Linked DNA regions of Macaca fascicularis. The protein of the gene in region 3 interacts with the protein of the main gene of each other region in a pairwise test. Links are inferred from orthologs where the notes say so. Each region holds a gene or a part of one and is shown on either strand. Other genes may lie near its edges. The genes, in order: ELOA, CUL3 and GMCL1.

Region 1 (3,648 bases), on a different chromosome or scaffold from region 3:
GCGCCCTGGCCCTTGCCAGACTCTAAAGGCCATACTCAGTCATAACTGCCTCACAAATAGCCAAACCAGTAAACATCACGTCTACCCCTAATCTGTCCAGTGTAGAAACAGGTCTAAGGTGGCTCTGCAAGTACTGCCTAAGGAGGGCCAGCCTGCCTCCTGAATGGTTAATCTGAGCATAGCTGCTGCTCAAACCAGGACTCCTACCCTCCCATAGGCCCTGCAATTAATACAGAATAAGACTTAAGTTAGGACATCCCCTTAGGATACTGGGGATAGTCTATGGTAATAAAGTTAACAAAATACAAAATAGACGCAACTGGATATAAAGAATAAATATTTGGAAAACCCAGCTGGGCACGGTGGCTCACGCCTGTAATCCCAGCACTTTGGGAGGCTAAGGCAGGCGGATCACGAGGTCAAGAAATTGAGACCATCCTGGCTAACACGGGGAAACCCTGTCTCCACTAAAAAATAGAAAAAATTAGGCAGGCATGGTGGTGGACACCTGTAGTCCCAGCTACTCAGGAGGCTGAGGCAGGAGAATGGTGTGAACCCAGAAGGCGGAGCTTGCAGTGAGCTGAGATCGTGCTACTGCACTCTAGCCTGGGTGACAGAGCAAGACTCCGTCTCAAAAAAAAAAAAAAAAAAAGAGAGACAGCGTCTGTCATCCAGGCTAGAGTGCGGTGGTACAATCTAGGCTGACTGAAGCCTCGACCTCCTAGGCTCAAGTGATACTCCCACCTCAGTCTCCTGAGTAGTTGGGACTACAGACATGTACCACTATGCCCAATTTTAAAATTTTTTGTAGAGAGAGGGTCTCGTTATGTTGCTCAGGCTGGTCTTGAACTCCTGGGTTCAAGGGATCCTCCTGCCTCAGCCTGCCAGAGTGCTGGGATTACAGGCATGAGCCACCGCACCTGGACTCACTATAATTATTTAAAAGATATAGTGCACTATGGACAAAGCAGAGGGAAGGAGGGACTGACATTCAGACCAGCTATGTGCAAGGCATCATGCACATGCAACATGCAGTCCACAAAATGTAATACAGTGAATAATGACATTGAGAGTTAAAAACTAGTTCTGAAATAATATTTGAGCAGGAACTCCAAGTTACTTACTCTTCACAGTGGGTTTCCTAGGATCATAGGAAACAGTGCTGCTGACCACTGGTGCCAAGTGGGCACTGCTGGTGCTTGGGCCATCATAGGCCGGCTCCTCAGGGCTGGGGTTAAAGCTGTTGCTACTGGCGGAAGCATGGCTGCTTCCCGTGGGGTACGGGGCTGGCTTAATCCTGCAACACAGGACAACACTGGTTAGTCATGAGCACAAGAAATCTGCCCTGAGCATGAAGAGCCTGAAGCTGGCCCGTGTGAGGATGACTTACCCTGTTTGTGGCTTTGACCAGTGGACCCTAGCACCCTGGATTCTGGTGGTGGCTCAGAGGTGTCTGCATTATCCTTTCAGAATAAATGATAATCTCAACTAACTTTTCACTGTTTTGGTATAAATCTGTATTTTGAAAATGCTAATGTGGCTTAGACAAAATAACAGTCATTGCAGAAATGTGTTTTTTGTTTAGATGAGAAAAGGGAAAGCATAAGGGAATGTTTCCCATAAGTCAGGCTTTGCTCTCCATTTAATCTTGACTACCCTAGGGCAGGAGAAATTATCACCTTGCACTGCAGTCCAAGAAGCAGAGGCTGAGGGAGGTGAGGGAAGTGCTGAGCTGATGAGGTCTGCCTCCAGAGTCCACCTTCTGCACTGCCTTGCTTTCACCAAAAGCAATTTGCTTCCTGCCGCTATGGCTACCTCTTAAGGGTTGATAGCACACAAAAGCCAGGTAAGAACACAGTTCTTACTTGATTTTCTCAGGGACAGCTGCTCCTCCAGTTCCAAACTTTTCCTGCCTCCTCCGGACGTCACGAGGTGGCTTGGCCACAGAGTTGACAAAGGCCATCTTTGCTTGTCGGCCTGTAGAATTATGGAGATGAACATCTGCCTTCTTGAGCAGAGACGCTACTGTTATTTAAATAATCCACGGGGTTTTCCACTGCCCTGAAACCCCACTATAGGGTAGCATGGGCTGTGGCAGAAGAAATACCCACCCTGCTACCTGATGTAGGGGCCAGCAGTCCCACACCAGCCAAGCCCACCAAGACCCTGCTATTGACCAGAACACTCATCCTGCCAGTTCTACCCCAGCTCTCCCGTCTCTGTTACCTTTGGGCTTATTGGCATGTGCGAATTGGATGTTCTTTGTTAGTACTCGTAGCCGCTGCTCTCGGGCATCCTGAAGCCGCAGGTACATCTCTCGCCACGACTCATATTCTTCGGGTCTTTCTTCCTTAAAGTCTCGGTGACAGTGAACTTTCCATAATTGATCTGTTTCTTCAATTAATACCTGAAACCAGAACCAGGACATCATTTATGTACAAGCACTTTTATGTACAAGCACTATCTTTTTTTTTTTTTTTTTGAGACAGAGCCTTGCTCTGTCGCGTAGACTGGAGTGCAGTGGTGCAGTTTCGGCTCACTGCAACCCCTGCCTCCTGGGTTCAAGCGATTCTTGTGCCTCAGCCTCCCAAGTAGCCAGGACTACAGGTGCTTACCACTATGCCCAGCTAATTTTTTATATTTTTAGTAGAGACGGGGTATCGCCATGTCGGCCAGGCTGGCCTTGAACTCCTGACCTCAAGTGATCCACCCACCTTAGCTTCCCAAAGTGCTGGGATTACAAGCGTGTGTCACCACGCCCGGCCCCATATCTTTTTCTGATTCTTTAATTACCTAGGAGTGACCAGTTTCCTAATAATTTTTTGGTCTTTGTCGTAGTAGTATGTTAAAATACCACAATTCTAGGAAAAAATAACTCACTAAATTTTAAAAATGCTAAGTGTGAGGCACTAGGCTAGCTGCTTTTGGTGGCTGTGACAGGATATCACAAAAATTAGTGTAAGATCAGTCTTTTCCTTTAGAAAATCAGCAAAGGGTAGAACTGTGATCAAGTCCAATCAGGTACTTCCCACAGTTCAGTATGCTGAACTGTGATGGCAGGGGGCAACCTAAGAAAGATGTTAAGTTATTGGCCAGACGCAGTGGCTCATGCCTGTAATCCCAGCACTTCGGGAGGCCAAGATGGGACATCACTTGAGGCCAAGAGTCTAAGAGTCCATCTCTCCGAAAAATAAAAATATTAGCCAGGTGTGGTGGTATGTGCCTGTAGTCCCAGCTACTTGGGAGAATCACTTAAGCCCAGGAGTTCAAGGATGCAGTGAGCCATGATTAGGCTACTGTACTGCAGAGTCTAAGCAACAGAGGTAGACCCTGTCTCAAAAAAAAAAAAAAAAAAAAAAAAAAAAAGATGTTAGGTCAGAGAACTCTCAGAATTAAAGAGAGATAGCTGATGCAATCAAATGTGTATACCTATATCCTAAGGAGGATTTCTGGATAGATCTTGATGTCTCTTAAGAGACATCCAGTCAATCACCAGATGTCAGTGTCAACACAAAGTGCTTTACCCACCCTGGGTCCCAGCTGCTCTGCTGCCAGAATTCTCCCTTGACCTTCATGACTAGGCAAGCTCAAGGGAGGTGTTAAAAGTGCTTTTCTTCTCCCTTTGAATCCCACCATGATCCTAACCAA
Region 2 (3,748 bases), on a different chromosome or scaffold from region 3:
TAGGCCGGGCGCGGTGGCTCACGCCTGTAATCCCAGCACTTTGGGAGGCCGAGGTGGGTGGATCATCTGAGGTCGGGAGTTCGAGACCAGCCTGACCAATAGGGAGAACCCTCGTCTCTACTAAAAATACGAAATTAGCCGGGTATAGTGGCGCCTGCCTGTAATCCCAGCTACTCAGAGGCTGAGGCAGGAGAACCGCTTTAACCCAGGAGGCGGAGGTTGCTGGGAGCTGAGATCGCGCCATTGCACTCCAGCCTGGGCAACAAGAGCGAAACTGTCTCAAAAAAAAAAAAAAAAAAAGAAAAGAAAAAGAAAACCTGTCGTATAAAACTATTAACTTCATAAAATTCTAAGTAGTTCTAAACTCTAAAGTGATCAGAATTTAGTAGGAAAATTAATATTAATCACAAATTCATAACCCAGCTCTGTGCCCAATCATAAGGGAAAACATACTAGTAAGCTTCGTTAGTACTCTATTGTCAACATTTCTCATGTTTACTTAGAAAAAAGTTCGAAACATTCCAAAAATCTTTAATTATTATCAAAACACTTAATTCTCCTAAATACACCGTACCTATTTACACAAAGCAGAGGTTTTCGCACACTGATTTTAGTATTTATGTTCTTGCAATTTCAGAATTCTGCATGAGCTGTATCCTTTTAAATTTTAGGAATTCAGAGAGGTCCTCATGTTCTCTGAGACTAAATTACTTGACTCAACTGGGGCAATCATATTAATATAAGTATTTTCTCAGGCAACTGCACTTCAGGAAAAGCTCTCTTTAAAAAGTGACAACAAACTTCCCTCTTTCGCCTGCACATCATACGAAGTATTTATGAATCTAAGAAGGGAAGACCAAGATCTTTCTCTAATTTTGTTTTTTAAAATCTTCTGTCCGATTGCTAGTTCGTCTGTCTTGACGTACGCCTTTTATTGTAGCGACATAGGCAAGTATGTCCAGTTTGTTAACAACAATACATTTTAATTGCTTGCCATAGTGTGGACGAACCAGATATGACACCCAAAGTTATACCCTATATGCTAAACACCACAAGGCTACGACACAACGTAATGCCAAAAAAGAAAAGGTTTCTGAACACAACACGTTTGCTGTCACTGAAAGTGATGAAAGAAAGCAACTCTGCAAGGCGACTACACTCATTCTTTGGGCTCCCAAGGCTGAGAAATGGAGAACCAATTGTCCGGTTTGATCTCTGTTGCTTCCTCCCACCCGGCCTTCCTCCGAGTGGCGAGGCAATCCTGCACAACAGTTTGTAAAGTGTTTAGGAGGCTTGTAGGATGAAAGACGCTAGAAATACACCCAATGTTACTAGTTTATGACCACTGAGCATTCCGTGGAACCACTGTCACTGCTTCGGGGGCAGGTTGATGGCACAGCCCCGCCTGGGGAGGGGGGCAGAGTGAGAGGGCAGCCCCTTCATCACCCTACAAGCTAGACTGGGTAATTTTTGAAAGTGTAACGAAACCCCACGTGAAAAGTTCCACACACGCCCCACACAGGGAGGACTTCGCCGCTGCTAACAGCGCCGGAGCCTGGGCCTACAACCCCAGCAACGTGGGGAGGCGTGGGGCGGCCGAGGGGCCCCGGCCGCAGCCGACGCCCGTGGAGCGGCTCAAGAAGCAACTCCCGGACGGGGGCGCGGCGCCAGGCCCGGACTCCCGGCGCGGGGAACGGCCCGGGAGGGCGGCCGCGCCGGGGCCCCGCGCCGCCCGGTTGCCGGGAAGGCTCGCGCCCCGCGGCCGGCGAGCGTGGGGGAGGGGAGGCCGGGCCTGCGGCCTGTTGGGGGACTTCAGCCCGGGCCTCGCGTGCGGCTCTCGGCCCGGCCCCCGGCCCCGGGGTCCCGGACGCCGAGGAGAGACTCACCGGAAAGGCCCGGATCCGCATCTTGGTGTCCTTCCGGCTGCCCGTGCCTTTGCTCAGATTCGACATGGTGCTCGTCCCCTCCCCGGCGGCGGCTTCAGGTCGCGCTCCGCGACGCCGGTGTCACATTTAAGGCGGGCAGGCAGGCGAGGGGCGACGCTGGGGGCGGCGCGGCCCCCGGGCAGGGCTGGGGAGCTGGCCGGCCCCTGGGCAGCCGCGGCGGCGGCGGGGGCGGCGGCTCGGGCTCCGGCTGCTCCGACGCGGCTGGGGGGCTGCGCTGGCGCGGTGGCTCCGCAGGGTCCCCCTCACGCCCGGCTCTGCTCCCTTTATCGCGCTCCTCCGCGATGGCGGCGGCGGCGGCGACGGACAAACATCTCACTGCGCAGGCCGAACGTCGTCCTCCTCCTCCTCCTTCTCCTCCTCCGCCTGAGCGAGACGAGATCCGGCCCAGAGGGTGGAGGGGGGAGGAGGGAGGGAGGAGAGCCGGAGAGTGAGAGATGCCGGGGGAGGGAGGTGGGAGGACGGGAGGGGGAGCCCGGCGGCCGCGGCGGGGACGCTCAGATCTCGCGAGAAGAGAGCGAGCGCGCTGCCCTGGTGGGGCGGGGCGAAGCCCGGGAGCGGGAGGGCGCCACCGGAGGGGAGGAGGGGAACAGGGAATTGAGGGAAGTGGGAGGGACCGGCGGGGCGGGGAAGCGGAAAGGGGGCGTGGCTGAGGGCGGGAGGATTAAGCTGCCTTTTTGAAAGAGGAGCGCCAGGTCCCGGATTCTGGGCGGAGGTGGTTGCTGATTGGTGGAACTCGAGGCGGCGGTTGGGAGGGTCCTGGTCACGTGGGGAGAGTGGGCGGGGGAAGTTCGGAGAGCGGGAGCTGGATTGTAGTGGGCTGGGCCCCACTGAGCTGGGATGGCAGGAGGATAGTCTTGGGGAGTAGCGTGGGGTGCTGGATGCATAACTACGTCCCGAACTGGTTCCTGTGTTTTTCTAGGGCATGTGGGCTAGGGATGGGTACTTGAGCAGAAGCCAGCAACTTGAATGAAGAGTCTGTGCAGGAGATACCTGCAGTGTCGGAAATGACTGTCCTGTATGCTCAACAAGGTATTCGGACTGAGGGTGTACACCACAGCTCTCAGGACTGGAGGGTGGAAATTTAATCTACAGAGTTACCTTAAACTGCATAAACCTCAGGACCTCTTGATTCACTGTTATTTTCTGGTGGACCCAGGGCTTATTAATGTTAAAACCTGTTTTTCATTACCATCAGAATAAACTGACAGCTCCATTAATGAAATGCAGCATTTGGTAAATGATGTTAAGTGGAATGATAGATACCTAACTTTAACCTACCAGATAAATCATTTCTAGCATTACCAAGAGTATTGTAGATTTTTAAAGCCAAAATTACCGTCTGATTCAGTTGCTGTATATTTGAAAAGGTTTTGGCTTTTGGTTTTTGGGGAGAGGCGTTTGGTCGCTTTATAGTCAAAATGTCTAATTTGACTCATCGGTTTTGCTGTCCATTTATTATGAATTGTACTTCCTCATTTACCTACTTGCCCAATTGCTGTTATGTTTGGGTTTCTGACTCTGCAAGGGAATATGTGAGTTCCAACTAAAGTTTGTGTTCTTCCTATTTTAAAGAAGCATCTGTTTGGGGGATGGATAGCTACATTTAGAAGCTGGTATTTTAATACTTTTACATAACAAACTTAATATAAAGTGAAATACACTTATTTGTTGACTATAAGGTTGAATTTGCCCTAAATTAACTTAATCCTGATGTCTAAGCTTTTGAGTGTTGCGCTTAAAGCCCCTTCTTGGTTGAAACACTCCATTGCAAATACCGTATTTTCTTGGGGTTTTTTTTGTGG
Region 3 (3,683 bases):
AATACAGACAAGAAGTCAGATTTTTTTTTTTTTTTTTTTGAGATGGAGTCTCACTTTGTCACCCAGACTGGAGTGCAGTTGTGCCACCTCGGCTCACTGCAACCTCGCCTCCCAGGTTCAAGCCATTCTTCTGCCTCAGCGTACCAAGTAGCTGGGATTACAGGCGCCCGCCACCACGCCTGGTTAATTTTTATATTTTTAGTAGAGACAGAGTTTCGCCATGTTGGCCAGGCTGGTTTTGAACTCCTGACCTCAGGTGATCTGTTTGCCTCAGTCTCCCAAAGTGCTGGGATTATAGGCATGAGCCACTGCGCCTGGCCAAGAACTCAGAATTTGAACTCTTAAAACTATGCCACAGGTTGGCAACGGTGGCTCACACCTGTAATCCCAACACTTTGGGAGGTCAAGGCAAGAGGATCACTTGAACCCAGGAGTTCAAGGCCAGCCTGGGTGGGCAACAGAGTGAGACCTTGTTTCTACAAATAAAAAAATTAGCTGGGTGTGGTGGTGCATGCCTGTGGTCTCAGCTACACAGAAGGCTGAGGTGGGAGAATCGCCTGAGTCTGTGAGGTCGAGGTGGAGTGAGCCATGATCCCACCACTGCATTCCAGCCTGGGCGACAGAGCGAGACCCTGTCTCAAAAAAGAAAAAAAATTTTCCAAAAAAAAAAAACTATGCTACACTGACTCTTCAAAAAGGTTACAGGGTCAGGCATGGTGGCTCACACCTGTAATCTGAGCACTTTGGGAGGCTGAGGTGGGAGGGTCGCTTCAGCCCAGGTGTTTGAGACCACCCTGGGCAATATAGTGAGACCCCTGTCTCTTTAGAAAAAAACTCCAAAAATCAAATAAACAACAAAAAAAGTTACTGAATAGTATTCACAGTAGGGGTCCATTTTTGTAAATAAATAAAAATATTCATAAAAAAAGGTACAAAAGGTTTTATAAACCAAACTATTGAGTTTTTAATCTATGATTCCTTTTTTACAATATGCAACACTTGTATAGCAAAACCTTTTTGAATCTGCTCATAAAGTTTAATTTTACGCTGGGTGCGCAGTGGCTCACGCCTATAATTCCAGCACTTTGGGAGGATGAGGCCAGCAGATCACCTGAGGTTGGGAGTTTGAGACAAGCTTGGCCAACATGATGAAACCTGTCTCTACTAAAAATAGAAAACATTAGCCAGGCATGGTGGTGCGTGTCTGTAGTCCCAGCTACTCGGGAGGCTGAGGCACAAGAATCGCTTGAACCAGGAAGTGGAGGTTGCAGTGAGTTGAGATCGCACCACTGCACTCCGGCCTGGGTGACAGAGCAAGGCTCTGTCTGAAAAATAAAAAAAGAAAAAGAGGCCGGGCACGGTGGCTCAAGCCTGTAATCCCAGCACTTTAGGAGGCCGAGATGGGCGGATCCCGAGGTCAGGAGATCGAGACCATCCTGGCTAACACGGTGAAACCCCGTCTCTACTAAAAAATACAAAAAACTAGCCAGGCGAGGTGGCGGGTGCCTGTAGTCCCAGCTACTCGGGAGGCTGAGGCAGGAGAATGGCGTAAACCCGGGAGGTGGAGCTTGCAGTGAGCTGAGATCCGGCCACTGCACCCCAGCCTGGGCGACAGAGCAAGACTCCGTCTCAAAAAAAAAAAAAAAAAAAGAAAAAAAGAAAAAGAAATCATTAAAAAAATTTCATCTGTGACCCTACCAAATCACCTTTAAAAACAAAAGCAGAAAAACCAAATTGTTTGTGTAAGAATATATTCTACCCATAAACTACATTCCAATTCCAGGTCACAAGTCAATATTCCATCTTTCAACTCATCAAAAAAAAAAAAAAAAAAAAACAGGTAAGCAAGCTGCAGCAGCACCGCCCTACATACAGTACATCCACGGTCAACGACATCAACTGCTAGAAACTTGCACAAACTCTGTTCCTGGTTAGGAACAAATGTACACTATTGATAAACTTCACCTTTACGATTAACGAGAACTCCTGTGTGCAATTATTTCCCCTCCACTGAGTGGGCGACAGTAAGAGTGCCCATTTCAGAGATTACATTTAGTGTCTGTACTAAAGCAACCGGATGCAAAACAACTTAGTCTGCGGCTACCCACTTGAGAGGGCAAAGGTGGACTGGTAAGGCCAGCCAGTCGGGCGTCTCTAAGGTTTAACGAGACGCGAGCTCGGGCTTGGCGTTTCTCATCCTCATCTTGGGGCTGTAACAACACCCTGGAAGCGTCTGTGGTTAAAAATGCAGAACACCAGGCGTCTCCCAAGGCGCTCCCCCGTCCGCCCGGCATCGGGCCGGCTTCCACATTCACTTGTCAAGGGCACGACCCCTCTTCATAGGCTGGGGAGCGCTGCACCCCGCAAGCGCACCGGGCGCCGGCTCGGCCCCAGGCCCAACAGGTGCGGGTCCGGGTCCGCGCGAGTGCGTGCCCCCACGTACCTTCGAGGGGTGTTGAGGAGCCGCTGCTGCTCGTCCCCCTCCTCCTCATCCTCATCCGTCTCCGAGTCAGGGTGACAGTAGCAGAAGGCCCCGCTGCTCCGCTTGCGCTTGTGGCTGCCCGGACAGTAACAGAAGCCGTGGCCCGCCGCATCGTCTCCAGTGTCCGGCCTCCGGGCCGAGCCCCCCGCCCTGGCACCCTGCGCCTGCTGGGCAAGGGCTCGTCTAGGCTGGCGCAGCACCCGGCTGCTCAACGATCCCATGGGTCACGGCTCCCCGAGACTTCAGGGAGCCCAGAGAAGGGGGTCTCCCGCCATGGCCCGGCCGCCGCCGCCAGCCTTCCCCGAGCGCAGATGCCTACACCGCCACCTTCTCACGCGCAGCCCCAACCGTTGCAGCGGACGCTACAGCCTCCATCCTCCGCCCCGCCCGCAGCTTCTGGTCGCTCCGCGCGCTAGCACCGCAGAACCTCGCCCCCTCGCTTTCGTAACAAAGCGCGCGCCGGCGGGCGCATGCGTGTGGCGAGCCTCCGGAAGGGGCGGGGCAAGGCAGGCGTGCGTGCGTGGCAGGTGGAGCCTGCGCACAACGCGGCGTGCTCGTACGGGCGGGTGTTTTCGGGCCTGCGGTGGGCCTGGCTTCCAACTAACGTGAACTTAGGCGTAGACGCAGTGTTAAGCCGTAGTTCACACACGCCTTTGTAGTGGCAAGACTTGGAACTTCAGTCGCGCATTCTTTCTACAAAGGTGCCTTGAGCCCCCGGTGCTTATGGGCCTGTGCTAAGCAAGTGGCAAAACCCCGAAGCTATTTGGTCTCCTTGCGGGAGCTCGGCGCTTGCTGGGGCCGCGCTCTGCTTTGTTGGGCGTGGCCTCCTGTGAGAGGGGCCCTAGGATGAGGCGCTATGCTGGATTCCTGGGCTTCCTTAACTGTAGCCCTACCCTGCTGTAGACGTGAAAGGAACCCGTTAAGTTATGGGAACGTTCCCGGCACTCCTTTTCTTTCCTATCAAGTGCCAGTGGGATGTCCGAATAGGGTCTGGCACCATGACTGTCCGTACTCAAAAAAGTGCCTTCAGGAGGCCCTAGCAAAATTGACAAGTGTCTGCCTGGAGGAGCTGCTCTTGTGATGGACTCCGGACAGCGAGCGTTCACTCCCTGACTCCCTTCTGTTACTTTTTAAGTAAAATAATAAAAATATTTCTCCTGTGGACCCACCACTAGCTTGAAATTTTATCATACTTGGTTTC

The links.
Region 1: the proteins of GMCL1 (region 3) and ELOA interact in binary tests that used the Homo sapiens proteins (3 or more experiments, as listed by UniProt). The two-hybrid records come from large-scale screens. The link is inferred for Macaca fascicularis from reciprocal best matches to the Homo sapiens genes GMCL1 and ELOA.
Region 2: the proteins of GMCL1 (region 3) and CUL3 interact in binary tests that used the Homo sapiens proteins (3 or more experiments, as listed by UniProt). The two-hybrid records come from large-scale screens. The link is inferred for Macaca fascicularis from reciprocal best matches to the Homo sapiens genes GMCL1 and CUL3.

The regions. Positions count from the first base shown.
Region 1 is NC_088375.1:211,358,894-211,362,541, forward strand, and holds part of ELOA (elongin-A), read right to left. Parts: intron 2,408-3,648; coding exon 2,227-2,407; intron 1,978-2,226; coding exon 1,866-1,977; intron 1,298-1,865; coding exon 1,125-1,297; intron 1-1,124. UniProt on the Homo sapiens protein: SIII, also known as elongin, is a general transcription elongation factor that increases the RNA polymerase II transcription elongation past template-encoded arresting sites.
Region 2 is NC_088386.1:120,534,204-120,537,951, forward strand, and holds the start of CUL3 (cullin-3), read right to left. Parts: upstream 2,321-3,748; 5' UTR 1,953-2,320; coding exon 1,887-1,952; intron 1-1,886. UniProt on the Homo sapiens protein: Core component of multiple cullin-RING-based BCR (BTB-CUL3-RBX1) E3 ubiquitin-protein ligase complexes which mediate the ubiquitination and subsequent proteasomal degradation of target proteins.
Region 3 is NC_088387.1:52,113,800-52,117,482, forward strand, and holds the start of GMCL1 (germ cell-less protein-like 1), read right to left. Parts: upstream 2,881-3,683; 5' UTR 2,704-2,880; coding exon 2,444-2,703; intron 1-2,443. UniProt on the Homo sapiens protein: Possible function in spermatogenesis. Enhances the degradation of MDM2 and increases the amount of p53 probably by modulating the nucleocytoplasmic transport.